2 linked regions of the Bombyx mori genome follow. The protein of the gene in region 2 interacts with the protein of the main gene of each other region in a pairwise test. Links are inferred from orthologs where the notes say so. Each region holds a gene or a part of one and is shown on either strand. Other genes may lie near its edges. The genes, in order: cact and splicing factor Cactin.

The links.
Region 1: the proteins of splicing factor Cactin (region 2) and cact interact in binary tests that used the Drosophila melanogaster proteins (3 or more experiments, as listed by UniProt). The link is inferred for Bombyx mori from reciprocal best matches to the Drosophila melanogaster genes cactin and cact.

Annotation. Positions count from the first base shown.
Region 1 is NC_085118.1:17,159,099-17,176,232, reverse strand, and holds the start of cact (cactus), read right to left. Parts: upstream 9,676-17,134; 5' UTR 9,524-9,675; coding exon 9,249-9,523; intron 6,819-9,248; coding exon 6,493-6,818; intron 1-6,492. Other genes in the region: DNA replication complex GINS protein PSF1, read left to right, coding at 12,874-12,945, 13,208-13,272, 14,112-14,562. UniProt on the Drosophila melanogaster protein: Involved in the formation of the dorsoventral pattern. It inhibits nuclear translocation of the dorsal morphogen in the dorsal region of the embryo. Acts as a negative regulator of the NF-kappa-B (rel) signaling pathway.
Region 2 is NC_085125.1:14,768,805-14,786,013, reverse strand, and holds the start of splicing factor Cactin, read right to left. Parts: upstream 7,297-17,209; 5' UTR 7,111-7,296; coding exon 7,109-7,110; intron 6,943-7,108; coding exon 6,586-6,942; intron 5,342-6,585; coding exon 5,104-5,341; intron 4,193-5,103; coding exon 4,018-4,192; intron 3,433-4,017; coding exon 3,299-3,432; intron 2,799-3,298; coding exon 2,646-2,798; intron 2,114-2,645; coding exon 1,990-2,113; intron 1,018-1,989; coding exon 635-1,017; intron 532-634; coding exon 341-531; intron 1-340. UniProt on the Drosophila melanogaster protein: Plays a role in pre-mRNA splicing by facilitating excision of a subset of introns. Plays a role during early embryonic development. Involved in the dorsal-ventral embryonic patterning.

The sequences.
Region 1 (17,134 bases), on a different chromosome or scaffold from region 2:
ATCGTGGCACGGATATAGATTCATTGCTGAGCTGTACGCCATTTTTAAAACGGAAGAATTTAGGTCAGTTCCCAATTAAAACTATTGAAGTTTACGCTTCTAAATAGATTTCGCGTTAACAAGTTCTACATTAGATTAAGCTTTCTGTTTAAAAAGTTAGACTGGGTTTAGACGCCCATATGGGTTTTTATTTATTAAAGTATGTATGTAATTAAAGCATGTTTTTATTATTTAAATGATTACAAAATGTTTTGGGGATCAGAAATATCACAAAATAGATATGAAGTCATATGACTGATGAAATATTTAATTACATTTCGTTATCATTAAACGACACACAAAGAGGTACCTTTAATGCCCAACTAGACTAGAGGTTTTGTTTCTAGCGTATTGGTTCTTCTTCTAAATTTTCGTCGATTTTCCTTGACTTTATTCCGTTGAGGTGGTTACAAGTATGTGTTTAAAATAACAATAAATTACTTTAATGCGCTATCCGTCGATATTTTCTGATAATTAATTATTAATGCTAACTAAAAAACTAGTTTAGGTGTTATTTAAGAGTAGGTACGAAAAAAACATTGACGCCTTCGAACACATCAAAAGAAATATAACGATAAAGTTTATTTAACTTGATTTGATAATGATTGATTTAGTTGGCGTGTATTATAGAATCATTTACGGGCGTCATCAGATAGCAGCCAACGACCGGCCGTACGTCATTTGTGTTTTCCCGCCCGTGGACCTTTTATTGTATTCAATGATAATTATGGTACAGTTACTTTAGATTTATTTTATTAATCATTTGCTCGATTACACTCTATCTAGAGTCGCAATTTGTTGACTGAACACGTGTCGTATCTTTTACATCGTTACGAGGGCGGGTGTGTTTGGAGACGTAATTCCATAAAATGAATATTATTTTGTTCTACCTTTCGCCTGATCAATTCTTTATATAGTAGACATGGAATCAATTCGCGTGACGTCAACTTATAGATCAACGTTCCAGAATGAATATAAATCTTTCACGGACGAAGATATTTTCGTCAAATTATGCTGTCACCACACGACGGCTTAAACAATTGTAGAATAAAATGTGAGAAGAATCGTTACATGTCAATGAATCTTGGTATTTCTTGGGAGATGAACGCACGTCATTGAAGTAATTATTTTTTTTAAAGACGAGGATAGTTGATTAGTTGGGGAACCCATGGACGCTAACAACTAATGAATGCCGCCGCCGACATCCAAGCATGACGTCAGAGTTTCTAGTGTATTATATAGTGTAAGTTTCTAATAACATCTGGCCTATCCTCCGAGGCGGGAAAAAACAGCAGTGACACAACACTACCACCAAAAGAACTTACATATTTTCAAAATAAATACCTATATCTTGAATACTTTGTGTCGTCGTGGCCTAAGCGATAAGACGTCTGGTGCATTCGTGTTGAGCGATGCACCGGTGTTCGAATCTCAGGCGGGTACCAATTTTTGTAATGAAATACGTACTCAACAAATGTTCACGATTGACTTCCACGGTGAAGGAATAACATCGTGTAATAAAAATCAAACCCGCAAAATTATAATGTGCGTAATTATGGTGGTAGGACCTCTTGTGAGTCCGCGCGGATAGGTATCACTACCTTGCCTAGTTCTGCCGTGAAGCAGTAATGCGTTTCGGTTCGAAGGGTGGGGCAGCCGTTGTAACTATACTGAGACCCTTAGAACTTATATCTCAAGATGGGTGGCGCATTTACGTTGTAGATGTCTATGGACTCCAGTAACCACTTAACACCAGGTGGGCTGTGAGCTCGTAAACAATCTAAGCAATAAAAAAAAAGCACTGTGAGTATATTATGTTTCCAAGTAAATAATCTCTTAGTAAAACCCACTATACTTGTTTACACACGATCCAACTCATCAATGACTAATCAAAGGTCCCCGTTGACCATTACTCAGTATCAGTCCATGTCTTCAGAGAATCTTTGTATTGAGCCGGCAAGGAGTGCGGAGTTGCGGTAGATACTATCGCGTTAATTATTGTTTCCGTTGTGAAATATTAAAAGGCTGAAATATTAGCTGTCTTGACAATTGAACTTTACACCTTATGTCTAACTACGCAAGTCTTAAGTTCGATATCTTTCTATCTCACGTCCACAATGTTAACTACTATTCTCGTATTGAAAACAATATATCCAAGCTTAGGGTAACTAGGCAATAGGGATGAAATAAAGATAGATAATCAAAACTTCGAACTCTATTCAATGTGTAGTTGGTATTTGCGCACGTTGGCTTCATAAATATTACTACATATGTATTAGTATATCTACATTTGATTGAGTTAGCGACGCGTGAAGATAATGCGCGGGGAGAGGCGGAGGTGCGGGGAAGGCGAGACGTGGGGTTTCCCAGTATGTGTCGAGTGTAGCACGCGCACCCACGCCATATAAGGTGGCGACCGATGATATTTTCACCGTTTTCACAGACTATACACAATAATGACGATAAAAATCAATATCGCATCGATTAATAATATAATCGCTATGAATATACGTGATCTCATTAAGTTATTGTAACAGAACCAAATGAGTAACATACTTATTTGTTTGATAACAAGATTTAATTTTAATTAATTTTTAATCTTTGAGTAATCTAAGCTTTTAGTAGAAAATGCCTTATCATAACTATGATTGATGTTACGTTACAAAATTAATTTCGTTGTACCAACTAGAGAGAGTAAGAGATAGACGGGCTTCAAGATAGAGATGTTGTTTTGCACCGTGTGTTCTCGGCGTTTGATTGGCCCTTTCCATTAAACAGTGTCCTAAACGGATGCAGGACCATTTCTCACTGGAAACTTTTGATAGAGGTCATTCAATATCGGGTATTCGATTACCACGGTCTTGACGACGATAATGTTATTTCAGTTTTAATCATAGTTATTTTAAAGTTCAATTTTAAATAAAACGAGGTGTTTTTACGCATTTGTTACGTAGGTATAAAACATCATTAAACTTTGAAGCGTACCTACTATTGCGTTTAAAAATGTAAGCATTTTCCTTATTTACGTTGCGATAATAAAAACAACTTTACATATGTGTTTACATCAAATAAAAAAAAAAACTAATTCGTTTCCATTCTTCGCTGTAGTTTATCATTGTTTGTAGATGACACCGGAAATTAGGTTTTTATCTCTTTTTTATCGATAAGTACTAAATATTACAATAAGCCGTCGTATGCTTGTCTTGAGACACGAGGATCAGCATTTTGTATCGATATAAAAATTGATAAACAAAATTTGTGTACATCAATATTTAGAATTACAAATTCTATTGATCATGTTCATCTCCCCTTTATGACCGAGAGCAGTTGAAAAGAGTGTTATGAAGGCGAATAAACTTAACACGAAACAACGAACAAAAATACGTTTATGGAACTTCTGAATATCCTTAAAGTACCGTTTCTAGTTATTTAAAAAGACAATTGATATCCACCGTTGGCGCGCCATAACTAATCGAAATGAGGACCCATGAACAGACCACTCATAGCAAACATGATTGCACATAGAGATAAGTATTCAGGAGTTATCGAGGTCAATCGAATCGAAAGTGGAAGTTCCCCAATTAGACGTTTAGTGTGCCATCCAAGTATTATTATATCGTTAATTGGCTTACAATTAGGAACACAACCTAAGACAAACAGTAGTTGTCCATTGACATGACAACGTCAATGTGCATTTTGAAGCATGCGCCCGAATCGAGATACAGAGTATTACATAGAAATGTCAGTCCCGAGAGAAGAGTCTCCAACAAGCAACATGTCGGGCATGGCCGCCACCATATTCTGTAAGGTTATGTTGAAATCTTGATAATACAGAGGTCATTGAAGAACCAGGCCGAGTGTAGGAAAATCCCACGCTGCGACGATCCACCGTTTGCAATAATACGATGGCGGTACAATTACTACTACACAATTTACATCAAGGTGTCAAGGAACCAAGTTGTGGTGAACTGTATTGCAAAATGAAAAGTAGAAAACTCACGTTTCATATGAAACACATAATTTATTTACAGTGACCGGGGAACTTCTGGAATGTTCTAAACACCGGAAACTGAGCCGCGAATAATTTGAACGTCAGATCAATGCGTAGTATATTCGCTTCTGAATCATGTCTTCGATACATGAAAACCTTGGAAAATACTATATCTTCGTTCTTGTTTTGATAACAACTATTCCAAAGCCTCCGTTTTTATAGTCGACTATTATCTTGGTATGCAATAAAGGATTTAACTATACGCTAATATAGATAGGATGTTATGTACGCAGTCCACTATTGTAGATATTTTATCGTAGATTCGTACAAGGGAATATCATGAAAGTTACATGTAAGTACAATTTTCTAATTAATTCAATTCTTAAAACCTGTTTTTGCGTGTAATTTCAATAAAATATGTAAGCAAACCGCAATCTAAACACGAGGGCATTCCTCGTGTACATTTTTCGAAGCGTTTTATACGCTAATTTGGGAATTCCATTACCTTATGCCATTTACCTACTTCATTTTCGTGACTCGAATCATAAATAAACTTGAGGTTTAATAAAAAAAAAACAGTATTCACAACCTCTCGCACTTCGATCATCAGCGGAACCTGTTTTTTTTGGAAATTCTCTAAATCCGGTCGGTCGTCGAATATTTCTTTAACCAAACATAGCAGCACGCAAGGGTTTAATTTGGTATGATTTGAATTCTCCTATATATACATATGCGCGTCTGTTAAGTGAGATTCAGTACAGCGTTTTAAAATTAGAAAGCGTGGGTGGCGAGGCGGCGACGTAACGCTATTATTACGACGACGCTTGGGATTTCCGCGAGTATGTAACGCGGCAGCACGGCCCCTGGACACACTTTCACGCGGGTATAACCCATCAGCACATCGACTCATTGTTCAGCTCGAATAATGGGAAATTACGGTGCCTGCAGCCGTACCTCTGCGGTTTTCCTTAGACCGATCAACCCAGCGAATACATTTAACGGAATGGACTTGTGTTTACCTTCAACAAGTTCACTTTGTAAGCTACTTAGTGAAAGCAAGCGACTTCAGGCGCGATTTGACGGCGATAGAAGCAAGGGAATTGCTGCGTTTACACAAAACGCAGATATGAAAAGTAAACATTATGTATTTATTGTTGTTTAGAAAAACCCAGTTTACTATGCCGGCTGCTTAACAAATTCATAATTAGCTATGTGCAGCGCAGTGGACAGTGGGGCATCCCGACTAAAGAGTCGTGCGAACGTTTGGAGCGGTAGATTCGGTTCAATGTAAGCATAATGCTTTCACTCAAGTTTGAGAACGGTCGTTGGGAATACCCAGTCCGCGGTCACACCGCCTCGCACGTAGGCGGCCTCTGTCGAACGGCTCGCAGTATAGATGTATAATTATTAAGTCCGAAAATTATGTTATAATACGTGTTTGACTGTCTCGGCAAGGTCAAGCGTCGGGTAAAACCGTATGCAGATCGACGACCAGAAGTCGTGCGAAATTCTTTTACACAAAACTTGAAGCCGACCAGAGATGATCAGGGAAAACCGCTAATTAAAAAAACTCGAAATATCATGTTTTGATGCAGCTCTACACGGGTCGTTCCGTGTTCACGATTTAAAATGAGGACGAGTCCACGAGACATTCTAAAATTTTGAATGGATGCTCATGAATTGCGTTTCGCTGTATTCCAAACCGAATTTACGATAGATTTTTAATGACTTCGATCGTAATGGAGACCTTGAATGACGTCACAAGTAGACACGGTTCGCACTTCGGACGTAAACAACGCCGTATGTCTGTGTCGTGCCACAAACTGGCTCCAGATACGAGCTGCTAGTGTTCAATTCAACAATGTATGCTAGTAGACTACGTAGCTTCTAATGCAATGAACACGTGACGTCATTAGGGTGTAAGTTCACGCCTGGATGGACCGCGACGCCGGCGCCGGCAATAAATACTACTTCCCTGAATTATCCGAGGTCAAACATTTAACCTACCACAGGATAAGTACAGTACTATGCGTAGTTCAAATTCGGACGTGCTAATCTCGGCATTACATTTTATCGTTCATACTGCGTCTTAATTCAACGACCGATAACAGACCACGATATTAGTGAAATTACGCAATTTTAACTTAATAAATTTTAATAATAAAAATGCGGTAGTTGCCGACGGTCAAGTCTTTAAGAACGCTTAAAGCGAATCGTAAGTGGAAATTCCGAGTTTGTATGGGTTTTTACATCTGATTCAGTGAGACAATAATTTATCTCGCTGCAAACTTGCTAGGTTTATAGTTAATATTAATTTAGCTAGAATCTGAATAAAAGCACGAGGTATATAAATTGATCAACACTCATTACACTAATCTGTTACTGAATTTGTTATCAGTCGAGTCGCTCACAAATGGCTACAAGGAAATATTTGAATGATTTCTTTTAAATAAACAACTTACCGTTGTAGTTCTTCTGCTCCAGTACTGTTAATACTTTACTGCTCTGATGCTCAGGAACTTTGGCAAGTAGTGCTTTTAAGCATTCTATATGGCGGGCGGCAGTCGCTTTGTGTAGCGGAGTCTCTCCGAGGCAGTCTCTCGCTCCGATGTCAGCTCCGGCGATGACCAACATCCTAGTGATGATGGCATTACCACTCATCACCGCTAGATGCAGTGGCGTATGGCCATAATCGTTGGGCACGTCCAGCCACGACTTCTCAGGGCACACCCTGATGAGGGTACCCACTGACTTTTCACAGCCGTGTACGGAGGCGATGTGTAGTTGTCTGTAATGGAAAATAACAACTCTTCACATTCAACATATCAACTGCACAGACTCCTTATAATGTAATAAGTAGTTCACTGATATGTAATAGCCATAATAGGCACTGGTAACACTTTATAGTGACTGTTTTCATTTTAGACATTGAGTAATCTATTTATGGGAATATCTGTACTGAAAAAATGAGTTCATAGACAGGAAGTACTTCTTAAATTTAAATACTTTATATTTTATTTTTCAGACCTTCTACTAATAAACATATTTTTTTATATTTCATATGTATGATTAATCATTTATTATACAACTGGTGTTATATCGATGTTGTACTTGCATAGATTGTATGTATGTATGCTAAATAAATAAACCTTAATTTATAAATTTATCATAGACATTTATTAATAGGTATTATAAAATATACTATTTAAATAAAACGAAACAATTTACAATTATTGAGGAAGTAAACTTGTTTTTATAAATGTTAACTTGTTTTGTAATTAGTTTGAATTGTGAAAACGAGTACCAGATGATGATATTGTCGATTGGTTGATTCTATCATTGGTATGTGCATGAACCAGTCCATTCTATCTGAATACAATGCAGGAACCACCTGATATAAACAAACACATTAGATGTACCCATGTAATCCTCAGAATTTATATGAGTGATGGTGTTGTGAGTGAGGTCATTTGAGGACATCACTAGTTGCATCTAGTGATGTAATCATATCACTATCTAATCTATTCAATAGCTTGTTCTTTTATTATACATAGCTACATAGGTTATTGATCTGAGTGAGGAAGTTAAATAAATAATTTTAGGGATATCAAATAAATAAAAACAGTGTAAAATGTTATGTATTGATAATTAAAACAACATGAGCTAGAATTGTCAACACATCTGGGAACAGTTTAACAAATAATATTTTGGTAGTTTTAGATAGTTTAGAAAAACAAATAATTATCAGTTCTAATTCAAATATTTAAAAATAGTCCCTAGTTATTTATATTCAAAGAAGGCTGAAACAGTTACATTTGCACTCATAAGTATATTATTATATACTTGATCATGATTACTAATTGTATTATCAATCCAATCAATATGTTTTTCAAGCAATTAAATTTGCTCACTTTGATCGTCTTTATTCAAAAAAACAAATCCGCGCAAAGGAAGTTGTAAAATGTATAAATGATTTCCTTGTTAATTTAAATATTGGAAGAATATCAAGTCTTTTTCACTGCTATATTTACTAAAACATAGTAGTGAATATTTAGTTTATGTATATTTAGTCTATAGTTTCACTGAAAACAAAGATATCAAAGCATATGGCCCACCTGATGGTGAGTGGTTACCATTGCTAATTCACATCAGTAATGCCAGGGGCAGAGCCAAATTGCTTCCTGCCCCTGAGTATTTTCTATAAATCTTGTCAACCAACCTTCCAACATTATAAGGCATTTGAGAAACATCAAAGAGAGGAGTTAATTACAAAGCCAGATGGTACATGCCAGAAAATATCTCCGGAAATGCACTGTGGATAAACACAGTGGTTCTACACAGAGTGGACAAAGGCTACTGCAATGGCGGGCAGTGCATGCAATTTATTCATTACAGAATTTACAACATATCATGTGCATATTACCGTATTAGGCTACAACGCTTTAAGTTCATTTTTGTTACTGTACTGATAAACATTTTTTTAAATGAAGTTTATGTTATTGTACCCTGTTAAAATATAATTGAACTAGCAACTTTATATCAATATATTTTAATATGCTTTATAAAATGCTAAACTACGAGAATTAACGCTTTAGCAAAAAGTTTAAAGCTTAATAAAGAAACATGATAAAAATTGGTTTTATTTAACTGCATGTTAATTCAAAATAGATTTATTAAAATAGACGAATGAAAGGATATAGTAAGCACCTTAAACGTAAAGTTGCTATTTCTCTCATTTATTTCACTGAACACAGGGAATTTCTTTTGTTATAGTTCAAGTTTCATCATGGTTTTAATAAGAATACATATTGTAGTTTAGGTCTGTTGACTTATTACAAACTGTATTGGCTGGGTAAGATTGTCATATTAATTTTCTTGGTGAGCTGAGGTTCTTGCACAAGTATAATTTGATAAAATTTCCACATTAACAATGTTTTTTTTTTAAATATGCCCTTCGTAGGTAATTAATTGACTTTAACAACAACAAAAAAGTAATTTGATAAATCTCAAAATATATTTAAAAATCTATCATTAAACTAAAAGGTAAGCAAGGAGTGTTTCTCGAAAAAGTATTTAATAATAGTAGTAGTGTCAAATCAAGTTAACAATGTTGTTTAAAATTATAGGGAAAAATTTCATGCACAGACCCCAAAAAGCCAAAATGAAGAATTTTTGTTGTTGTTGTAAGAGTGCGTGGAGTATAATGATTTATACATACGTGTCTCCGTCCTCGTCCTGTTGGAACAGTAGATACAGCGGAGGAATGTCTGCGGTACTCTGTGCAGGACTCTGAACACTAACCATTACTTGTGACAGCCTATCCGTAATGGATTTCACTCCACTTTCACCTTCACTATTCTTTTCATCATAATCGATCATCCCTGAATCGATATCATTACTATCACACGGTCCTGATATTTCACCAGTAACAAAACCGGAATCAGCGTACTCGTCCTCGCGCAATTTCGTTTCGGAATCTTTTTTGGCACTCATTTTTGGTTCAATTCTATACGACCGTTTTCAATTTTAACAATAATCTTATCGTTTCACTATTGTTTATATTACAATTGTTTATGAACACGGAACCATGTTTTGACACAAAAATGTCGCGTAATAAACAGCCTCACTACAACGAATGCGCGTGCACAATGCGTGATTAAGATTCAATGCTGGAGTATTTGTGACTACATAAGGCTGCCATTTTTTGTTTTTATTAGCATTCGTCATTACGTCACTTTCTAGAGACATGTTCGGAAACACTGTGTCATGTAAATTGTCTACAATCTACATCACTGCGTGATGATTTAATCTAAAATATTTTGTTTGAGTTGATAGATATCCTTAGCAAAAACAAAGTAAACATAGACATAGACAGTGACAATAGGTGTCTTGACTAGTAAAAAAATATCTGTTGGTTCGTGAAGTAAAACAATATAACAAAACTGTGATTTCGATAAAAATAAACTAAAACATCCACGTTTTTTTTTTTTTTTTTTATTGCTTAGATGGATGGACGAGCTCACAGCCCACCTGATGGTGAGTGGTTACCGTCACCCATGGACTTCAGCAATGCCAGGGGCAGAGCCAAGCCGCTGCCTACCGCTTAATACTCTCCACAAGCCTAGTTTGAAGAAGGACATCTCATAGCGCTCGGGAAACACCGTGAAGGGAAGCTCATTCCATAGGCGGATGGTACGTGGCAAAAAAGACCTCTGGAAACGCACTGTGGATGACTGCAGTGGCTCCAGGTAGTATGTATGAACTCTACTCCGGTGGCGGGTGGTGCGATGGTAAAAACGAGATGCCGGTATCATCTCGAACAATTCCTCAGAGCACTCCCCATGGAACATACGGTACAAAATACAGAGGGAACCGAAGTCCCTCCGTAGACCCAGATGCTCCGAAAAATTCTCTGAGAGTCTACCTTAGGGGGGTGCAGAGATGAACCTTGATAGGTGTAGTGTGATAGTGATATTACTTAAACATATGTGTATATATAACATACATAATATTTATAGATACAAAAACTCGTACTTAAATAAATACATTTACATAAATATATATGTATAAAATATATATAAATAAATATTATCAATTAGATGACTCTGATAACTCTCTAGAAACAGTTCTCGAACCCTCATCTTAAACGCTTCACGTGTAGTGGCCGACCTTAGAGAACCGAGTCAGAACTATATGGAGGACAGCGAAGAAGAACATTGTGAGATGAACGAAGATTTCGGCTGTGGTCAGACCCTAAGTATTGAAAGGAAGTAGTTAAATAAGCAGGTGGATTTGGGGAATGCAACAAAGAGTAAAGAGTACCGAGAGCACGCAAGCTACGGCGTTGTCGAATGGGGAGCCATTTAAGTTGGGAGCGATGAGAAGATACGTGATCGTATTTCCGAAGATCATAAATAAATCGAATGCAGTTATTGAGAAGCCGGTTAAGTTTATTGAGTAGATATTATGCATTCAGGTCAAAGTAGCACACATCACCATAGTCGATCAAGGGGAAAACCAAAGTTTGAACGAGTATTGTCTTGGTCTCGGGCGGAAGGAAATACTTCAGGTGGTAAAGCATACGGAGTCTTTACGACGTTATCACGTAAAACTCTCGTCCATAAGTAAACTTTATAGACAGCTGTGGACCCAATAGAAAGAACTTAAAATTTCCATTTGGTGTTTATTCTTTCATTTTACAATTATCGACTCTTCGGATCAACAAAACTAGAAGTTGTAATTGTTTGGTATTGTGGCCACAAAAAGCAGACGAACATACGTTACTCATTGAACAATTCCATTGCGTATTATGTGGGAGGGGGAGGGGGGGGGGGGGTTAGGGCGGGGGATATTATCTTGTTGAACACCCAGTAAAACGAAGTCACTTTTTGATTCCTGATTTAATCAACAATATGATAACTTAATTCACTTTAACATTTATCCAACCTTAACCAGTACGTAAAACAGTCACTTAATCACACAATGTAACAAGGATATAGTAAGTGCACCGAGCAAACGCAGTCGGCCGGGGCACCTGGCTTATCTATGAGTCACTCCTGTTGCACGTGCTGTTTTACGAGTGGAGTGACACGGCCGGCGCACCTGGCTTGTGTATGACTCACTCCTATTGCACGTGCTGTATAACAGAAGTAACGTTAACGCCGTCATAGATATGTTACTGCTTATTATTTCTGTGTGTTAACACAACGTAACGACATTGGGAATGTCGTTGGTGTAGAGAGCGTAGAGGATCGGTGACAGGATACCTCCTTGGGGAACCCCAGCTGTGGCTGGGCGCATCCACGATTTAGCGCTCTTGACCGCGACAAAAAGAGTTCTGCCCTCCAGGTACGACCCCAGTAGTCGCACGTAGGCGTGCTGGAAGTCCGTGTTCTGCACCAACTTGCAGATAAGCCCCGCACGCCAGACACGGTTGAAGGCCTTCTCGAAATCGAGAAATACTGCCGCCATGTACTGGCGTGCGTTGGACCGTCAAAAGGTGCATAACGCAGACCAATTGCAGCGTTGTTGAGTGACTGCTACGTATCCAGAATTGCTCGGGTCTGAGAAGGATGTGCGGAGACACTCTTCTCACCAGCAGCCGCTCGAACAACTTGCCCACATACGACAACAGGGTAATCGGACGATAATTGGAGGGCTGTCTTCTGTCCTTCTAAATTCCCGGGAAATATCCTGTAGACAGAATGTAATTAAACAGCCGTGTCTTAAAAGACACGACTGATTCTAGAAAGTGGAAAAATGCAAGGGTGAGAATACCGTCCTCACACAATGCCTTGCGCCTCTTTATCCGCTTGATAAGGAGGCGCAATTCAGCGGGAATGATGAAATCATCATGTCCCAGAGGTGGCACCGGGAGGTTAGTTTGCACGTCGAACACTTTGTTGAGTTCGACGAGTACGGTTATCAGGGTCCCTAAGTCTGCTCCTAATGTTAAAGTTGAAAGCGTCTTTGCAAGAGTAATTGGATCTGATGGTCGACCCGATAAGGAGAGTGAGATTATTATTGGCTGTATTGCTACTAAGTGATTATCTGTAAAAAGTTACTTGTATGACTTAGCTCCCACTTCTAGAAAATTTTAATATCTTAAGATTAGGTTTTGGTATTATAGATTTAAAGATCAAGGCTTCTGTGATTTTCGAACTCATCCAAAAATGATGCGTATCCGATCATAAAATGTCAAATTTACTATCTGTCACAGTCTTGAGCTGTCACTCATCAAATTAATAACAACTTTCGCGCCAATGCCAAAAATGTTTTTATCTAAATTATTAAAGTATTTTGTTTGTTATCTCTCTCATTGTTAAGTAAATAAGTAACACACAATGTTCGCAGAAAAAGTTATAGAACTAATTAAAGAAGTAGATAGAAATCCTGACACAATAGATCAATATAATGTAAGTTGGATGTGCCCATCTAGGTATGGGATTGGAATTAGAATAAACTTGTTATATCTAATGAAAGCTTTAAGTTACTATTTAATACCGAAACCAAGATTTTATCCGGTTGTCATCTATTCTGTTTGTCTATGCATATGCACTATAAAGTCAGAAATCCATTTAGAAGTGACAAGTATATTAAATTATTGTTATAGCACCGCCTATTATTATTTTTGTGTCTTTTAATCTTATAAAGTACATAGTATTTCACATGTTACAGGATGAAAAAATACGCCAAATAATAGAAGAAATGCATTTATTATTTAAATTGAACATGAATGATGCGTAAGTCACTGGTTTTCTACTAATATAACTGCAAGTAGTTATTGTTCAATATGCAAGATTTGCTATGATCACTTCTATTCTGTAACCTCCTATTCTGTTTCATGTGATGCAAAAGTGCTCAGGTAACCTTGTAACTCCAGGAAGGTCTATTTTTGTTTTTTTTTGTCAATCTATTGCTACTAACCTCGAGGGGTTATGCTAGCTTCATGGGATTTGAGGTAGCCCTGAGATCTCTCACCCAATTATGCAAAAAAAAGTTTTATGACTTTTTTGTTTTATAACTCTTCACATTCAAGCAGTTTGGATAACTTGCCCAGCAGATTTGATAGCTTTACTGGTTGTGCTTGAGTAGCACAGATATCTCACCCAGCAGATTTGTTACAGCACTACGGTTATGTATCTGCTTAAAAATACTTTAGTGGACAGGCTTGGCTTCAATTTCTAACCAAATCTTAGCTCAGCTTATTGAGTTTTTTTACAGTGTAGTTGTTTTTTAATAATAGTACTAATTATTGTTTTTGGTATATAAAAAAAATAGAGAAATGTGTGTTTGTTTGTTGATCTTAAAGTACTTTTAAAATGTTTCTCTAATTTGGCCAAAATCGGTCTGAGTTGCTGGTCCGCACAAACGAAAACGTCATTTAGTGCAAAGGGGTTAATATTTTCATGCACTTGAGTCTCATGTGGTGTTGTAATAAGGTTACCTGCTATTAGTCCATTTTAATTTAAATTTCAAAAATATGTAGTTCAATTGCTCATCAAGTTCATTTATAGAAGAAGAAGATAACAACAAACTGTTTTATGATTACCGCTTGTATTAATTGAATTACTATTTTTAGTAATGCTACAACAGAAAACAGATCATTGTGGACCACAGTTCAAGTAAGACATTCTGCCCTTGAACGCAATAAAAGGTGTATATTAGCCTATCTCTACAACAGAATGAAAAAAATTAAGACATTACGTTGGGAATTTGGTGCAGTACTACCTCCAGATATCAGAGAATTGCTTTCTGATGATGAATATCAATGGTTTTCAAAATACTCTGGAAATCTTGCTTTGTATATGAGATCTTTAGGCCAAGATATAGGATACAGTGGCATAGACTTGACTGAAAATTTAAAGCCCCCTAAATCATTGTTCATCGAAGTGCTTTGTGTTGTGGATTATGGTAAATTAGAACTTGAAGATGGTGATGTGGTTATGCTTAAGAAGAATAGCAGACATTATCTTCCTACTTCGGAATGTCAGACTTTAATACGACAGGGTATTCTGAAACAAATAATGTGAATTTATTTTATCAATAGTGAATTTTTGACCATTTTATGTTTTAAATAATATTGTGAAAAATAATGTTTGATGTCTGTATGGAAATAAATTTTATGAGAAGATTATTTTTACCATAAGCTTAGTGATTTGACTTGATTAGATTTGCACCTCCTAATAAAGCAAGTGTGTGTCCATTTTTTTTACTATCCCTGATGGGTGAAAGAGCAGTCATAGTGGCCTAAAGAATATAATGCTTGCTGTAGTCAAATCAAATGATGCAACAATCAATATCATCATCAGCCCCGAGGTCTCCTAATATCAGACTTCAGACTTAGAACTTTTGTTTAGGTGTGTGGCAGCATTTGCGTTTTTGATATTTACGTGCCCTGTTAATGAGCTGGCATTGAAAAAAACTATTTTCTCAAAAAAGATACAGCGCAGTTTTTTTTTTTTTTTTTTCCTACCTATGATGGTAGCCTTGAGGGCTCAAACCTGATGACGTTGCTAACACGAACCCTAGCAAGAGCCGTGCTTCGCAGAATCTACCACCGGATCGGAAACGCGACCCACTGAGAAGATACGGCGAGAAACTCAGTGGGCTGTGTCTGGGAGTTAATTTACTCGTCGAGCCCTTCGACGGGTTCGACGAGAACGGTGACCGGTGCTTGAAGTACCTAAAAGCACCGTTAGTGGATCGGGACGATCCGAGATGACGTGTTTTGGGCGACGTCGACTGCTTTCCATTCTGTCCGCAGGATCGGGAATGTAGTTACTGGCGGCCACGATGAGAGGGTTCTCGTGTCGTGCCGCTTTATCGAAGTGGCGCATCGACGCCGACTGAAGATACTTACTGATGGACTCTAAGTCCAGGTCGTCATGGAGGTCGACGTTCCTGACGAACCACGGGGCTCCGACGGCTATCCTGCAAAAACGGGATTGAATAATTTGGAAGGATTTAAAGTGAGTGCGGGCCGCGTGAGCGAACACTACACTTGCATAGGTCATGACGGGGCGTATGCAAGTTTTGTAGAGTGTCACCTTATTTCTAAGGGACATTTTACTTCGCCTGCATATCATCGGGTAGAACAGCAAAGATATTAATTTATCTAGCATAGAGGCAGGCACTAAAAACATCCACAAAACTACAACTAAAACCAGTCTGCATTTTCTCTGTAAACTTCGCTTTAACTAGGTAATATTACAATATTGCATGATCTATTTATCAACCAAACACTTAACCAGTCTCGTAAAGTTAAATAATGGATAAAGTTGCAGCATTAGAAGTTCAGAACAGAAAATGTGCAATGAATTATTAATATAATAGGTATATTTATATTTATTACTAGCTGACCCGGCAGACTTCGTAATGTCTCAATCGATAAATAAAATACCTAAGCTTTTATATAAAATAAACTTAAAACAAACAAAATGAATCCGTCCGACGGGGGACACAGAGGAAAAACAAAATTGTTATTTTTATTTAATACCGAGCATTTTTATATTTATCTACCTTTTAAACCTTTACATTAGCCAAAGCGGTCCAGCCGTTCTCGAGTTTTAGCATAGACCTATATAGTAACTTCAGTGAGTTTTAGCGAGACTAACGAACAGTAATTCATTTTTATATACAGTCGACTCTCGTGAATTCGAAACTTGAGGGACTCATAAAATATTACGAATTATCGAATGTTTGAAATATCAAATGGTTCGAAATTTGTGAGAGAAAATAAATAAAACTTCGAATTACTAAGTATTGATCAATAATTATTTATTAACTGCTATTCTATAACAATGAATAGTAGTTCTTTTCCGTACTCCAGCAGTTTGAGCAGAATTAATTTTCTCCTTGTGCTTTATTATGGTTGAGAGAGTACTCAGAGGAATCTTAAATTCTTTTGCAACATCACTTTTCTTCTCACCTTCCTCTACTTTTTCGATTAACTTCTTCTTTTCAGCAATCGTCAAACATTTATACTTTCTAGGACTCATAATTAACACAAACTTTTAATCTGCATACCAACGAAAGACTAACCGTAACTGAAACATAACTAAACAAACCAATTCGTGGGGAAGTGTGAGTTTAACTAATCATAACAATAACAAAGGCTCGTGTATGTTGATACCGCTGTAGTAGGAAACCTATAGGTCTATGGTTGATACAAGTTTGAAGTTGTCGCAAAATGTACTTACATTACAATCATTCGACCTCTTTCTCTCTGCAACTTTGAATTGTCCAGTGTTGGACGCCGATGAGTTCGAATTAACGCGTCGTTTTATTATATAGCAATGATTTTTCGTTCGAATTACCAAGTGCATAAAAATGTATTGATTTAGTTCGAAATATAAAGAGATTTTGTAGGGAACTCGTGATAACTTTAAATTATAGAGAGGTTCTAATTATCGCAGGTTGGAATTAACGAGAGTCGACTGTAGGTATATAGATAACACACGTAATTGCGACGTGATAGTAGCAAATAGTTTTGTAAATTTTGTTTTCTTGTAATGTTTTCGGTTTTCGCGCGTAGACATCATTATTATTACTTAAACTAATATAATTAATTTCACACTTTATTTTATTTTCGAATTCCGTTCT
Region 2 (17,209 bases):
GTCGGTACGGGGTCGGTACGGGGTCGGTACGGGGTCGGTACGGAACGGTCCGCGGGGACATAGTTCGTTGCCGACCCTTGTTCGGGGGCTGCACACAGTACCTAAATAACACAAAATTTTTACAAAAATGAAAAGCTTTGTCAAGAAAATAAAATTAAAATATCTTCAATGTAGTCAATTAAAAATACATCGCTAACTAGTCACATTTTGATAAAATTTAAATGAGTGCACATGAAAAGTATTACTTCTAAAAAAAAAATATCTAAATCGGTTCATCTATAAAGAGTCGGTTAAATAGCTAATAGTAATTGTAGTAATGATATTGGCTTCATGAGATGACCTGTTGAAGTATCTCGGTTTCCTGGGCCTGTACTTGTCGGCCCACAGACAGGGCTGGTCCGGCAGCGCGTGCTCCAGGGCGAAGGGCGCCGTGTCCGGTGCGGGGGCGCCCATGGCGCGCCGGGCCTCCGCCTCCAGAGACTCCGCCCCTCCGCCCGCTCCCGGCCCCGCCGAGCTGCCTTCTGGTCGTCCCTGTTCATACATCGACACCATTGAATAAGTACGGTCTGTGCCGGGGCGCAGTGATGTCACTACGGAGTCCGCCTTGTCCGACCGCGCAAGGGTTAGAACGTACCGCGGGGGCGCGGCCCCGGGTCCGCGCGGCGCGCAGGTAGTGCAGGCGCTGCAGGTCCGCCAGCGGCTCGGTGAGCAGCGTGGCGGGCTCGAGGTCGCGGTCCGTCAGCAGCGCGGGCGAGTACCGACCCGACCGGTACAGCGACACGCACTCCTCCTCCTCCTCCTCGTGCTCGTCCCCCTCGGCCTCGGGCGCGGTCCCCCCGCCGTCGGGCGCGGCCCCCCCGCCGTCGGGCGCGGCCCCCCCGCCGTCGGGCTGCGCGGGCTCGGGGCTGGCGGGGGCGCGGGGCGCGGGGGCGACGCCCTGCTCGCGCTTGAGCAGCTGCAGCTTGCGGCGCAGGTTGTGTCGGTGCCGCTCGCGCAGGCGGGCGCGCGCGCGGTGCGCTGGCGACACAACGCGCTACTTTACTCTCTGTTTTAGATGAATGTGTTGCATTCGGGCCTCTGTGGATACCGAGCGAGCGACTCCTGCGGCCGCTCAGCAGCCTCGGGGGCGGCTACATTTATCCACTGATTTATCGATGAGTGGTCAATTAATTTACACCTTTTTTTTAATAATGATCTTGTCGATGACTACAGAGAGCAGGTCAGTCAGGGCCTATTGTAACTATACTTGAAACCTTAGAACTTATATCTCAAGGTGGGTGGCGCATTTACGTTGTAGATGTCTATGGGGTCCAGCAACCACTTAACACCAGGTAGGCTGTGAGCTCGTCCACCAATCTAATAAAAAAAAAATGGAAAAAAAAGGGCCGCACGAGTCGTCTACGCAGAGTCTGGATTAATTGAAGCGGTCACCACATTTTTTTTATTGCTTAGATCAGCCTTTCCTAAAGTGGGCGATAGCGCCCCCTTGTGGGCGCTAAAGACTTTAAGGAGGGCGGTAGGAGACCCAGAAAAAAAAGACTCTTAGACACCGATTGAGCTCTCATTATAGTGGTTTTTAATTAGATGAAAAAATGGGGGCGCTAAAAAATAATTTATTCTGAAAATGGGCAGCAGACCAAAATAAGTTTGGGAGCTTGGTTTAGATCGTCTTAGATGGGTGGAAGAGCTCACAACTCATCTGCTGTTAAGTGGTTACCGGAGCCTATAAACATCTACAACGTAAATGCTGTCGCTCACCTTGAGATACGAGTTCTAAGGTATCAATTTTTACAGTACAACGGCGACCCCGCCCTTCTAACCGAAACGCATTACTGCTTCGCGGCAGAAATGGACAGGGCGGTGGTGAACCCACAAAGCGTCCTACCACCAACCCCGTCTTCAGAAAGTAACGGTTAGTTCTAAGACGACAGCTGGCAGGGGCATATTGTGCACGAGTGGACAGCAGCATGCGCGCCAGACAGCGGTTACCTTTCAGCTGGCTAAGCAAGCTCTCCCAGTACCCGATGTCGACGCCGTCTCTCCTGCCGGATATCTTCTGCTCTATCTGCGTCTGCAGCGCCTCCAGCTGAGCTCCGGTCTTGCCTTTGAAGATCTGTAATGGTAGAGAGCGGGTAAGATCGAGTGACCGGAACCGGAGGGTCGCGCCGCGTGCGTCCGTCTGGCGCCTTGACTAGGGCTGCCACCCGTACTTTATAATAAAGTATTGTACGCTATCCTTTATGTGAACAATAAAGTACACGAAAATACTTTATTTGGCATGATTTGGTTTCTTTGGGATTTTGAAAAGTTTAGTCATATGTATTGTTTCGTTAAGCGAAATACATCGATTGCTCAATCGATGTCGCCACTCGCCAACGCTACATCACCTAAGCACTCGTTGTTTTTACAAATATTCTGACCGAACTTAACCTCATATGTCACTGTCATTAATTGTCACAGTCCTGTTTAATTTTTTCAATGGTAATAAAAAATGTCTTTAAACATAATAACAGTAAAAAATAAATTGTACTTTATTTTAATACTATGTACTTTTTGTTCCTACCTGTAATAACCAATGTACTTTATCTACAAAAAGAAGGTTGCAACCCTAGCCTTGAGTGTAGTAGTGTAAAGAGTGGAAGTACTTGTGTGACGTCATCGGCGACGGCCCTGTGCACGCCGTCCCTGCGCGCGGAGGGCGCGGCCACGGTGCGCAGCTTGCCCAGCTCGTCCAGCACGATGGTCTGCACGTCCTCCCAGTACGACTGGTTAGATTCCTTCTCCAACTCTTTGTAAACCTACCAAAAATATTTGTATATTATATGATTTATGTTTTCTACCCTTTTCTACCATCTATATGGACTTTTTGGCGGGAACACGAGGAGTGAAGTTGTGTGACAAAACACTACGAGAATTATTTAACTCATGAATAAACCCCGGACCACAGCCCCCCGACCCCCACCACGGTGGGTGGCAAATCGTTCATATCGCGCGGCTGATGCCTACACTTTGGAGAATGAAGATAAATATTCACGGACGTATTAGGTACGTAATTTAATTTTATGGTATTCGAACAATGGCAGAGTGAGTAGAGTGAATACTTTTGCCAAGGCCTTATTACAACTTCGTATAAATCATCAGATGAGTCCTACACCGTCCTATCGGGGTAGGGCCGCCCCCCCCCACAGGGAGGCCCGAGCTGGCCGTGTGCTTGTGTCGGTACTGGGGTGAGTGAACAAGTCCGATTGTGCTGGTGTAAGCTTTGCTCAGCTTTACGGGTACTGAAAGTATTTTATACCTTGATGTCTTCGAGCAAGTCCTCGAGGTCTTGCATCTGCAGCCCGTTGAGGTAGGTGTAGGGCTCGTGCATCTCCAGAGCATCCACGCACTCCTCTGAGCTCACATACCACGCCAGCAGGTCTATCGGCTTCGCTGTTTGAAGGAACCAAGTGGTGTGCATAGTTGTAAACAACATACAAATATCACAAGTGAGGATAATAATATTAATCTATTCTCAATTTGACCACAGACTATAAACATTTTTATGTATTTTTATGCATAATTAAAAAAAAGATTAACATTTTGCACCCCTTCTCTAAATTTTGTATAAATGTGGGAAATTTCATACTCCACCGTCCGCGCAATTTTCGTAAAAATTACCAGTAGGTATAGCTTGCAGTGCTGTAGATAAGCAAGCGGTCACAAAATATACAGAAATAATGACTGTTTTTTTATTTTTTTATTGTATAGATGGTTAGACGAGCTCACAGCTCACCTGGTGTTAAGTGGTTACTGGAGCCCATAGACATTTACTACGTAAATGCGCCACCCACCTTGAGATATAAGTTCTAAGATCTCAAGTATAGTTACAACGGCTGCCCTACCCTACAAACCGAAACGCATTACTGCTTCACGGCAGAAATGGGCAGGGTGGTGGTAACTACCCGCGCGGACTCAGAAGAGGTCCTACCTCCAGTGTTTTGCCTCTCTTTAAGATAATGCTTTATTGTGACTGACCTCGTCCATCCCGGATCCTTATCTGCGTGCGCAGGGTGGCCTGGTGCAAATGGAAGGCATCCTCGTGGCGCGCCCAGCTGTGGAACTGCGCGGCCTCACGAGCGCGCGCCGCCGCCCCGGCCTCCGCCTCTCGGGCTGCGCGCTCCGCCTCGCGCTCCAAGCGGCGCTGCTTCACCTACACACACACACACACTCACAGACATATCTCGAAGCAGAAACAGCAGTGTCGCCAATGAAATCCACTGCCACCAGGCAACATGAAAATGATACAATCATAAGATATGGCAGTCGTGTGCAACGTACGCCAGAATTAGCAATGAATAATGTAGCGCTATTATTTTTTAAATCTTGTAGTGTTCAGCTTATTGGCACATATTAGGCAAAAAATACCAAAGGGTTTTTAAAAAAAGTACTGATAAAAAAACTTTAACTTAAAGGAAACCTAAAACAGAAATCAATGCTAAATTCACAGTAAAATAATTTGAAATGATTATTTATAGATGCTATTAACTTATTATTGCGCGCCCTAAGTTCGATACCCACCTACCTTTAACCAAACTGCGCAAACGTCGGTATTCCGACTCTCCGCACCTTATAGCCATAATAATAAAGTCGATATATCAACGGTACGCGCTCAAAGAGTTATGATTTATTTTACAAACTATTCTTATGCACAATTTAAAACAAAATAATTATATTCATTACAATTTACAAAGTAAATATGTCATTATCTATAGTAGTTTTGTACTGGTAATATAAGTAATATGTACGGAATGGCCCACAATATTATTACACTCTTGGCTCAATGCCATAATTGAAACCGGGCAGTAATGTTCTTAATATTTAGAGTCTACAATTGATCACGATATACTACGCAGTTCCCAGGTCAACAAGATCTATACAATAATATACAATAGGACAGCGCACAGACTGTTTGTCAGTTTTCATTCTACCCCACCTAGACCCTGTAAATGTTTAGAATGTTTGCGTCTCATGAACAACTCCCATAGCTTTATCATTTGCTATACTTTATATTTATAAAGCCTCATGCCTATCTTAAGCCTATGTCTATTATCAAATCCTTACCTTTTCCAATTCAATCTTATTTTCTAATTGTTTCTGTCTATTCAAAGCTTCAAGTTCTTCTCTGGATACATTTTTCACACCTTCTTTAGCAAGTTTTTTAGCCCAGACAAATGTATTGGTCAGTGCAGAGTCTCCAAATGGGTTGTCTTGGTTAGTGTAGCATTGGTACTCATTGTCCCAGCCCATACGCTCGCGGCGTTTCCTTTCTTTTTCTTGCTTTTCACGAAGACGCCTCTCCCTTTAAATTAAATTAAATAAAAAGGTAATTGTATCAGTAAAACAATTTATTACTATAAAAAGTAATTGGTAATGACAAAACTTGGAAAGAGTGAAAGAGACATACAAATTAATGTTCGTTTAGTTGTTATACTATTTAACACTTATTGTTTTGTGATATTGTTGTTCTTTTGACTGCCAATTTAAACTTGAATAAATTCTATATTTGGAGCTTGGAGTTAAAGAATGTTATTAGAACAGCACGGATTGAGTACAAAAATTTACTTTCTAATATCCTCAAAGTGCATATAAGCCATAGCAACCATAGTCAATCCACCATCAGCATAATTAGGAACAATATATAGTTTAAAAAGTATTGACATATTAATAAAATCATGATGGATGCATGCTACAATAAAGGAAACATAACTTAATAATATAAATTTTAATATCAAATCCACAAAACTAATAAATTTGTAAGATTTGTAAGAAGGTACGGCCTTCATCCTGCCTATATGCATCAAAAACCAAAAATACCTTCCAATGTAAGGGGTGGGACTGCCATTGTATTGTTATGGCAGTATGAGTAGTGCCATCAGTTGTCAAATAACAAAAATGGATATTGAAAGTACCTATAGAAATGGTCTGGAAAATAGTAGACATAGTCGTCTTGACAATAAAAAGCATTGCAAAGGCAACATGGAGTTAGTTAATAATCAGTTCTACACAAAGTGATACAATGGACAGTACTCATGAAGCAAAGCAAAAGAAATGAATAGTGATATTAAAGTTTACCTTAAGCATTTTAATAATGATATATTTTTAATTAGTATTTCATTGAAAGTTCTTCTTTTTCCTGAGACTTCAACAAAATTTTATTTATGAATAAATAAATGAAGAATCTAACATCCACCATAAGATTATAACCTCAAACCTAAAATGCATAGCTGCTTCAAGATATAAATCTGCAGGATGGTATCCATGATTACAACAGACTACTACTAGTACTTAATGAGGCAGGGACTAGTAGCTAAACTAGCCAGGGTCTTATACCATTAAATTCATTATGATAAGAAATAAATTGGCTAAGTTCATATCTCAAAACAAAAATGTATACCGACTACGGCATTCAAACACTGGCATAGTCGTGTAGCTCAAAAAAAGTACAGAAGTCCTATTTGTCAAACCACAATGAGTTCAAGATCGTTAAGCTAGATTTCGCAATTCAGATTCTCGACCCATTTTTCTAGTATCTACTATTATTACCTTTTCTCCTCAGGAGTTTCCTTCGCTTTGAGCATCTCTTTCTGTTTACGTTTCTCTTCTTTGAGTCTTTGTCTTTCGGCCTCCAGTTTTTGCAAGAAATTCAATTCTTCTTCATTGCTGTCACTAGAACTACTACTACTACTGCTGCTGCTAGAAGAGTGTCTTTTCTTTTTCTTAGTCTTTTTACGCTTTTTTTCTCTGCTTGTAGAACTCTGTTTGGACGTGAGCGACTTTGACCTGTGAGTCTTGTGACTGGATGATCGACTCCTGGACCTTCTGCTATCTTTACGTTCTTGGTATCGTTCCACCGAATGACTCCGTGATCTTTCGATACGACGTGTATCAGTTCTTGAAGACCTAAAATATCCAAAATATTTATTTTGAAAATATTTAAATAACTATGTGTACATATTTAATGTATTAAATACCTCATAGTTGAATGGTGAATTAAAAACATAATAGGCATTCAAAAATTTTTATAAAATCATAAACTCTTCAATTAAAGTGAATCTAATATACTCACATATTTATTATTTGATTTGATCTAGAGACAGAGTAGACCTTGAATATTAATAAATATTAATCTTTCTTGATAAATTTAAAAGAGATAGACGTACAATTCGTAGAAATTGATCTTAAAATTATAAGTTAAATTAAAATTTTAATATTGTGTAGATGATCTTGTCATTTGTCAAGTGAAAGACAGTAAGTAGCAAGTTCCATTTTTTCAACTATAAAAGCAAAGGTGTTATAACATACAGCTTAATTTTTAGTTTTTAATGATGAAATGAGGTGTAGTTAATTTCTTTGGAACTGTAAGCAATTGGGTTGAAATTAATTGAAACGAAATGTTAGGTTAGGTTAGGTTAGGTTAGGTTGGGGTGCCTGGCAGAAAACCTCCCCGAGTGTTCAGTGGCTGCTGGTCCTTTTGTTTTCTTGAGAGGACGAGCAGGCGCTGGGCCGGTGCACCCTGGGCGTGGGCAACAATCTCCTCGTGAGGGGTGAGAAAGAGGAGATTGTTGCCCACGGCGAATTTCTGCCGGGGCGGAGGAGTCGCTCCCGAGGGCTCTCTATCTGCGCTCTGCAGCTGCAGAGTACACGACTAGGGAGCAAGGAGGGGTAGACCACGGGCTGTTTTACAGTTCGTGGCCTAGGGGTCTCCGCTACGTGTACGTCGCGGTGATCGAGGTGGAGAAGACCGTGGGTTGCTCCTCAACCTGCGGCCTAGGGGCATCCGTGGCGAGGTGATTAAACCACGGTGCCGGGTGGTGGCTAGTTTAAGTTAGTTTAGTTTCGTTTAGTTTAGCTAGTTCATATATATATATATTAAAAAAAAAAAAAAAAAAAAAAAAAAAAAAAAAAAAAAAAAAAAAAAAAAAAAAAAAAAAAAAAAAAAAAAAAAAAAAAAAAAAAAAAAATTGCTTGTAGATACCGACCAGCGGGCGGTATATCCTGCACCGGAGGCATCTGCGGGCCTCGGGAGGATCAAACACCCTCCCAAAAAGAGCGGCCACATCGCCTTGGGGAAGTTATGTGCGTACCACCCACTTCTTTAATATGAAAATGGCTAACTATGAGAGAGATTTGTCATGCGACCCGGCTGACGCCCGGCGCTCGCAGGTACCCGGGCCTGCGAGTGATAAATTGGTTACCGATGGACGCGCAGGAGTAGGCGACCAGGCCCCTGTTGCTGATAATATTACTGGAAGCAGTTATTTTGAAAATATTGACGGAGGACCGCGTGGGTCGTCTTCCGTTAGAAAACGCTCACGCGACAATGCTCCAGTGGGAGATGGGTCGGTGGATCTGTCCTCAGATGAGGAAGGCTTGCTGCCCCCCAAGAAATTACCGACCACGAGGAGAGGTCGGCAGGCTTCGAGAGGAGTGACTGCTTCACGGCCGCGGAGGAACGCACAGGGTAGGTTCGTGTGCTCCAATACTCCGGCTGCCAGCAAAGCAGATAGTGACATGGGGGTCACTACCGAGGACCCTGGTGGCGAGAGCTGTGCCTCGCTAGGGAGCTCAAAGGCGGAGATCAACGCCGCCCGAAGAGAGCAGCGCAAAGCTGTCGCGGCCGACGAAGTGTCGGAAATGGCCCGACGCGCACGCGAGCGACGCGCTACTCTAGCGGCGGAAGGGGGGGAACCATCTGCGGTGGCCCTAAGTCAGCTTGCCTTGGACGGGGTGGACTTAGTCCTGAAGGTTGCCACCAAATCCGGCAGCCTGAAGGGCACGTTTACCCGCGGTCTGAAAGAAGCTGCCGCGGACATTAAGGAGGCGATTGGCATCCTCCTCAACAGGACGGCCTCTGACGAGGTTGCGAAGTTGCAGGAGGAAAACAGCCGTCTCCGAAATGATATGGAGGACCTCCGGCGACGAGTCACTGCGTTGAGCGAGCAGCAGCAGCGGCGTACGTCCACTGATGCCGCATCGGTAGTGACCCCGGCTCCCGCACCGAGACCGACAAGCACTCATACCGACGACGAGGTCGAGCGCATTGTCCGGCTCTGTATGCTCCAGTGCGGGAGCATGGTCAATGCTCGTATGGAGGCAATTTCTCGGCGCCTCCCTGCGGAAATCCTCCGTCCGCCACTAGCGGCCGATACACGGCGGAGGGCTGAGGAGCCGCCGAGACCTAAGCCTAGGGAGGGGAAGCCCGCGGAGGGTGTCAAAAAGCCCGTCGAGGGAGCCCCATCGAGCGATCAGCCCACGACTGCTGGGTCTAAGGGTGAGACCTGGGTTACAGTCGTGGGCCGCAAGAAGGCACGCAGGGTCGCCAAGGCGGCCTCAGCAGCAACGCATGCCCCCGGCCAAACCGCAAAGGCGGTTGCGCAGCCTGCGCGGCGGGCTGCCAAAGGCGGTCGCAAAGGACCGGAGATACGTGCTCCGCGTTCCGAAGCTGTGACGCTCACGCTACAGCCCGGAGCTGCGGAGCGCGGCGTAACGTACCAGTCGGTCATCGCCGAAGCAAAGGCCAAGATCAAATTATCAGATCTTGGTCTTCAGGCCGTCACCCACAGGCAGGCTGCCACGGGTGCACGGTTGTTCGAGGTGGCTGGTACTACGAGTGGCAGTGCCGAAAAGGCGGACGCTCTGGCCGCCAAGATGAGGGAGGTCCTCAGCCCCGAGGACGTCCGGGTCTCCAGGCCAATGAAAACCGCAGAGGTGCGGATTGCTGGACTGGATGACTCCGTGACCTCTGAGGAGGTGGTAGCGGCCGTTGCCCGAAGTGGAGAGTGTCCATCGGACAAGGTGCGGGCCGGCGATATACGCACCGATGCCACCGGACTCGGCGTGGTCTGGGTTCGGTGCCCTGTAGCGTCGGCGAAAAAGATCGCCTTAAGCGGCAGATTGCTGGTTGGCTGGGTTGCAGCGAGGGTGAAACTTCTACAGCCCCGGGCTTTGCGGTGTTTCCGGTGCCTGGATAAGGGGCACGTCCGGGCAAAGTGCACCGCTGAAGTTGACCGCAGTGACCTTTGTTATCGCTGCGGTCAGCCCGGCCACAAGGCGGCTCAGTGTTCCGCGGCGCTCAACTGCAGCTTGTGTTCAGCTGCAGGGAAGCCAGCGGGACACAGGCTGGGTGGAGGAGCCTGTGGCGCACCAGCCAGCAAGGCCAAGAAGAAGAAGAGGAACTCAAAACCTACCGGGGAAACCTCGCCACCCCCGCAGGCTAGTAGCTCCGTAGCCGACTCCCGGCCCAGGACCGTTGCCGAGGGAATGGAATGTCAATAATGGCACAATTCCATTTCCTCCAGGGCAATATCAATCACTGTGCCAGAGCTCAGGATATTTTACTCCAGAGCATGGCAGAGTGGTCGATCCACGTGGCTGCGGTCGCCGAACCGTACTTTGTCCCCGCCCGTGACAACTGGCTGGGGAGCATTGACGGCTTGGTGGCCATTATCGGCCAGACTCTGATCAACCCGTCTCGGGGCCGCGGCTGGGTTGCTGCGGTCTCGGACGGTATCGGCATTGTAGGGGCGTATTTTTCTCCCAACAAGAGTCTCGCCGACTTTGAGGGGTTCCTCGTCGAGTTGGGCGCCGTCGTAGGCCGCTATCACCCTCGTCCCGTTCTGGTGCTCGGGGATCTCAACGCCAAGTCATCGGCGTGGGGATCTCCGGTCACTGACCATCGGGGCGAGGTGCTAGAAGAGTGGGCGGTGACAACTGGTCTGGTCGTCCTGAATCGGGGTTCGGAATACACGTGCGTGCGGCAGCGGGGCGGCTCGATAGTGGACGTCTCGTTTGCTAGCCCCTCTGTCGCCAGCCGAGTCCGCGACTGGCGTGTCGCCGTGGAGGTGGAGACGCTGTCGGACCATCGGTATATCCGGTTCGACGTCTCTGCCCAGACCGCGAGCGGCCGCCAGCCAACCGCCCCGATTAACGACGGCCCACGCTGGGCACTTAAGCGCATCGACGAGGAGCTACTCGAGGAAGCTGCCTTAGTCCAGTCCTGGATTTGGGAGTCGACAATGAACAGTCCCGTCGACGTCGAAGCGGTGGCGCTGTGGTTTCGAGGGGCGATGACGCAGATCTGCGACGCGTCCATGCCCCGTGTCCACCAACAGTCCGCAAGGCGCCAGGTGTACTGGTGGACCGACGAGATCGCACGGCTGCGCGTTGAGTGCGTCGCGGCTCGCCGCCGGTACACGCGATACCGGAGACGACGTCGACGGGATTCCGTCGAGGAAGACGCGCTGTATGAGGCGTACCGCGCGTCTAAGGAGACTCTGTGGCTGGCCATCGGCGACTCTAAGTCGCGTGCCAGGGAGGAGCTGCTGGGGTCCCTAGATCGGGATCCGTGGGGGCGCCCCTACCGTTGGGTACGGGGCAAGTTGCGTGCCTGGGCGCCTCCACTGGCGCAAAGCATGCAACCCCAGTTGCTAGAAGCGGTTGTATCGGCCCTCTTCCCTGAGCGAGCGGAATACGTTTCCCCGGCGATGGCTTCACCCTCAGCCACAGACTCTCGAGAAGAGGAAAGCACCGATGTCCCCGAGGTGACGCAAGCAGAAATGAGAGCGGCCGTGTCGCGACTCCGGTCTAAGAACACGGCCCCGGGACCCGACGGAGTTCCTGGTCGAGCACTCGTCCTGGCTCTGAAGGAGCTAGAGCCCCAGCTGAGGGGGCTCTTTACGGCATGTCTCGAGCAGGGTCAGTTTCCTAGTGTATGGAAGGAGGGGAAGCTGGTCCTGCTCAGGAAGGAGGGGCGCCCCGCGGACTCGCCGTCCGCGTATCGGCCCATAGTGCTGCTCGATGAGGCGGGCAAACTTTTTGAGCGCATTATCGCAGATCGCCTCGTCAGCCACTTGTGCAGGGAGGGGCCGGACCTGGATGACAACCAATTTGGTTTTCGTCGGGGGCGCTCCACCATAGACGCCATCATGCGCGTGAGGGCCCTGGCGGAGGAGACGGTGTCCCGGGGTGGGGTGGTACTGGCGGTGTCTTTAGACATCTCCAACGCTTTCAACACCCTACCCTGGAGTTGTATTCGGGAGGCTCTGAAATACCATCGCGTGCCTCCCTACCTCCGCCGCACGGTAGGGGCTTATCTGGAGGGTAGATGCGTCACTTATCGGGGACGTGACGGTGCCGGTCGGCACCTCATGTCGTGCGGTGTTCCACAGGGATCGGTCTTGGGACCGCTCCTGTGGAACATCGGCTACGACTGGGTGCTGAGAGGCGAGCTCCCGTCGGGCGCCAACTTGACGTGTTATGCGGACGACACGCTTGTCACTGCCCGGGGGAGCTCGCACAGGGAAGCGACGTTGATAGCCGCGGCTGCGGTGTCACTGGTGGTGAACCGCATCCGGCGCCTGGGCCTGGAGGTGGCCCTAAACAAGTCGGAGGCTATGGTGTTTCATGGCCCCCGACGTGCGCCGGCGCCGGGATCACACATCGTGGTAAGTGGGACCCGGATAGCTGTCGAGTCCACCATGAAGTATCTGGGATTGGTGCTCGACAGCCGATGGGAATTCGGGCCCCACTTCCGGCGGCTGGTGCCCAAGCTGATGGGTGCAGCGGGCGCGCTTTCAACGTTGCTTCCCAATTTGGGGGGCCCGAGCGCCGCCTGTAGGCGGTTGTACGTGGGAATCGTGCGGTCCATGGCCCTGTATGGGGCCCCTGTGTGGGCGATGGACATGACGGCCAGCACACTCGCCATTCTGCGTAAGCCGCAGAGGGTGATGGCCGTCAGAGTCATCCGCGGGTACCGCACGATTTCCTACGAGGCGGCTTGCGTCCTGGCCGGATCCCCGCCCTGGGACCTAGAGGCGAAAGTACTCGCGTCATTATATCGATGGCGCGAGGAAGAGCGGGCACGGGGCTCGAGGCTGGTGCAGCGGCAGATCGCGCTGCGCCGAGAGGAGCTCCGTCTGGCCTTGGTGGCGGAATGGCGGCAAAGGCTTCTGCGCCCTACCGCCGGCCTCGCAACCGTCGAGGCGATCCGGCCAGTACTCGACGACTGGCTCGGGAGAAGGCACGGATCCCTGTCGTTTAGGGTGACACAGGTGCTGTCGGGGCACGGTTGCTTCGGCAAGTACCTGTGCCGCATAGACAGGGAGCCGGACGCTCGGTGCCACCACTGCGTCCACTGCGGGGAGGACACGGCGCAACACACGCTCGCCGAGTGTGTAGCTTGGGAGGAGCAGCGCCGTGTCCTCACAAATGAAGTAGGAAGCGATCTGTCGCTGCCGGCCGTAGTGCGGAGGATGGTCGGCAGCGCAGAGTCGTGGGACGCGGTGGTGTCCTTCTGCGAGGACGTGATGTCGCAGAAGGAAACTGCAGAACGGGAGAGGGAGATCTCGACTCCCTTTCCCGGCCGCAGAAGGCGCACCGGGCGCAGAACAAGGGCGGACAATGCCCTTTTCCGCCCCCCATGAATGGGTCCAGGGGCGAGGGACTTGGGAAAGCCCTCGCCCCCTATTCGATGGACCTGAGACGGAGGCGCATGCGGGTGTCGGCGCGTGCCTCTGAGGCGATGCACGGAGTAGCTGAACGCCTCACTACTCCGTGCAGGAGACGAGGCCTGGATAGACCGGGCCAGCACTGGTGTGGGGCTGCGGAAGAATTTTGGATTCCCGCGGCCCTGCGCGCACGTGTGGGTGGACACCGGGGTGGTTTTAGCCGGTAGGAGTCCGGCACGCCCCTTCGCTTTTCCCTAGGCGAAGGTAGTCCATGAGGATTTCCCCCCGAAAAAAAAAAAAAAAAAAAAAAAAAAAAAAAAAAAAAAAAAAAAAAAAAAAGGTTAGGTCCCTCACCAGGATGGCTGCGCGTGGGCTGGGTTGTGGCCCACGTGCAACTGCAGGAGAGCAGGCCGTGGCGCTGTCTTCGGTGCTTCGGCACCGGCCACGGCCTCGCCAAGTGCCCCTCGACAGTGGACCGCAGCAACCTGTGCTTCCGCTGCGGCCAACCGGGGCACAAGGCAGCCTCCTGCACCGCAGCCGCGCCGCACTGCGTCTTGTGCGACGCGGCTAAAAGGAAGGCCGACCACCGGGCCGGGGGCCCGGCGTGCAAGTCCGCCCCCTCCTCTACAAAAACGAGGAGGGGCGGAAAGAAAAAGAAGCCGGCTGCAACAAGGGCAGCCGGCGAGTCAGTTCCCGCCGCGGCTGTTGTCGAGCCGCAGGGCGGGACAGACGAGGGAGCGATGGACGTAGCCCCGTAATGGGTTGTGTCCATCGCTTCCTTCAAAGTAATTTGAACCACTCCGCCAGGGCACAGGATCTCCTCGTCCACACCATGGCGGAGTGGTCAATCGACGTCGCTGTCGCCGCGGAGCCGTACTTCGTCCCCACTGACCAGGACTGCTGGATCGGGGACGTCGACGGCTCCGTGGCCATCGTACTGAGACAGTCCGCGGCGTTACCCCCCTTGGATATGGTGGCCAGGGGACCCGGGTACGTCGCGGCTAGGATCGACGGGACCGTCGTGATCGGGGCGTACTTTTCTCCGAACAGGAGCCTCGCCGAGTTCGAGCGGTTTCTGGGCGGGCTCGAGGCGCTTTTGCACCGCCTCGGGTCCCGCCCTGTCATCGTCGCGGGGGACTTCAATGCCAAGTGCACGGCTTGGGGTTCCCCCCGCACGGATGCGCGAGGCGAGGCCCTTTCGGAGTGGGCGATCGCGACCGGCCTCTGTCTCCTAAACAGAGGCACGGTCGCGACTTGCGTGCGGTGGAACGGGGAATCTCACGTGGACGTGACGTTCGCGTCCCCGTCCGCCGTGCGCCGCACCCGCGGCTGGCGCGTACTCGAGGGGGCGGAGACGCTCTCGGACCACAGATACGTCCGATTCGAGCTCTCCGCCTCCTCCTTGTCGTCGTCGTCAGCCGCGGGCGCCCGCGGCGAGGAGGAGCTCCCGCAAGGTGCGCCCCGTTCGTTCCCCAGGTGGGCCTTGAAACGGATGAACAAGGAGTTGCTGATGGAGGCGGCCGCTGTTGCTGCGTGGGCGCCAAAACCCGCGCGGCTCGCGGACGTGGATGCGGAGGTCGACTGGTTCCGGGGCACCATGGCAAACATTTGTGATGCCGCCATGCCCCGGGTCGGCCCCCGAGCACCACGTGGGGGTGCGTTCTGGTGGTCGCCCGAGATCGCAAGACTCCGCGAGGAGTGCGTGAGGGCGCGCCGCCGGAGCGCACGCCACCGCCGCCGCCGTCGTCGCGACGCTGCGTTCGCGGAGACGGCGGCCCAGCTGCACGCTGACTGTCGTCAAAAGCAGACGGCGCTGCAGCTGGCCATCGGCGAGGCCAAGAAGCAGAGCATGAAGACTCTCCTGGAGTCGCTCGACGAAGATCCCTGGGGGCGCCCATACAAGATGGTTCGCAGGAAACTGCAACCGTGGGCGCTCCCGGTGACCGAGCGGCTCCAGCCTCGGCAGCTGCGGGAAATTGTTGCGGCACTGTTCCCGCCGGCAGCGGGGGGGGACTTTGAGCCCCCCCAGATGGACGCCACGTGGGGCACGCCGCCGCGTCGCCCCAGCGTTCCCGCTGCCGAGGAGCCCCCTCCCCCTATCACGGGGGCGGAGATCCATGCGGCCGTGTCCAGGATGAGAGCGAAGGACGCGGCCCCCGGCCCTGACGGTGTTCACGGCCGGGTCTGGAGCTTGGCCTTCGAGGCCCTAGGGGACCGGCTCGGGGGGCTTTTCGAAGCGTGCCTCGAGTCGGGACGGTTCCCGTCGAAATGGAAGACGGGCAGACTGGTCCTTCTGCGGAAGGACGGGCGCCCCGCGGACTCACCCGCGGGCTATCGCCCCATCGTGTTGCTGGACGAAGCGGGCAAGATGCTCGAGAGGATCGTCGCGGCCCGCATCGTCCGGCACCTGACCGAGACGGGTCCCGATCTCTCGGCGGAACAATACGGCTTCAGAGAGGGCCGCTCGACGATCGACGCGATACTGCGCGTGCGGGCCCTCTCCGACGAAGCCGTATCCCGGGGCGGGGTGGCGATGGCGTTATCCTTAGATGTAAGGAACGCCTTCAACACCCTGCCCTGGTCGGTGATCGCGGGGGCGCTGGAGTATCACGGCGTCCCCGCATACCTCCGCCGACTGATCGGCTCCTACCTCGAGGGCAGGTCGATCCAGTGCATCGGACACGGTGGGGCGATGTTCCGCTTCCCCGTCGAGCGCGGTGTTCCGCAGGGGTCTGTCCTGGGCCCCCTGCTGTGGAACATCGGCTACGACTGGGTCCTGCGGGGCGTCATTCGGGGTCCCCTCCCCGGGCTGAGCGTAATATGTTACGCCGACGACACGTTGGTCGTGGCTCCGGGGAGGGACTACCGGGAGTCTGCCCGTCTGGCGTGCGCAGGCGTGGCACACGTCGTCACAAGGATCCGACGGCTGGGACTCGAGGTGGCGCTCGACAAAACCCAGGCCCTGTTGTTTCACGGGCCGGGACGAGCGCCGCCTCTGGGTGCCCACCTCGTGATCGGAGGCGTCCGCGTCGGGGTCGGGGTGACCGGTCTTCGGTACCTCGGCCTCGAACTGGACGGTCGGTGGAGCTTCCGCGCTCACTTCGAAAAATTGGGCCCTCGGCTGATGGCGACAGCCGGCTCTCTGAGCCGGCTCCTTCCAAACGTCGGGGGTCCCGATCAGGTGGCGCGCCGCCTCTACATGGGGGTGGTGCGGTCGATGGCACTATACGGTGCTCCCGTATGGTGCCACGCCCTGACCCGCGAGAACGTCGCGGCGCTGCGACGTCCGCAGCGCGCGATCGCGGTCAGGGCGATCCGAGGATACCGCACCGTCTCCTTCGAGGCGGCGTGCTTGCTCGCCGGGGCGCCACCCTGGGACCTGGAGGCGGAGGCGCTCGCTGCCGATTACCGGTGGCGTAGCGACCTCCGCTCTAGGGGGGAAGGGCGCCCCGGCGAAGGAGTAGTTCGAGCGCGGAGGCTCCAATCTCGGCGGTCCGTGCTGGAGGCGTGGTCTCGCCGCTTGGCGGACCCGTCGGCCGGCCTCCGTACCGTCGAGGCGGTCCGTCCGGTCCTCGCGGACTGGGTGGGCCGCGACCGCGGATGCCTCACCTTCCGGCTGACGCAAATGTTGACCGGCCATGGTTGTTTTGGCCGGTACTTGCACAAGATAGCCGGAAGGGAACCGACGGCGCAGTGCCATCACTGCGCGGACCGCGACGAGG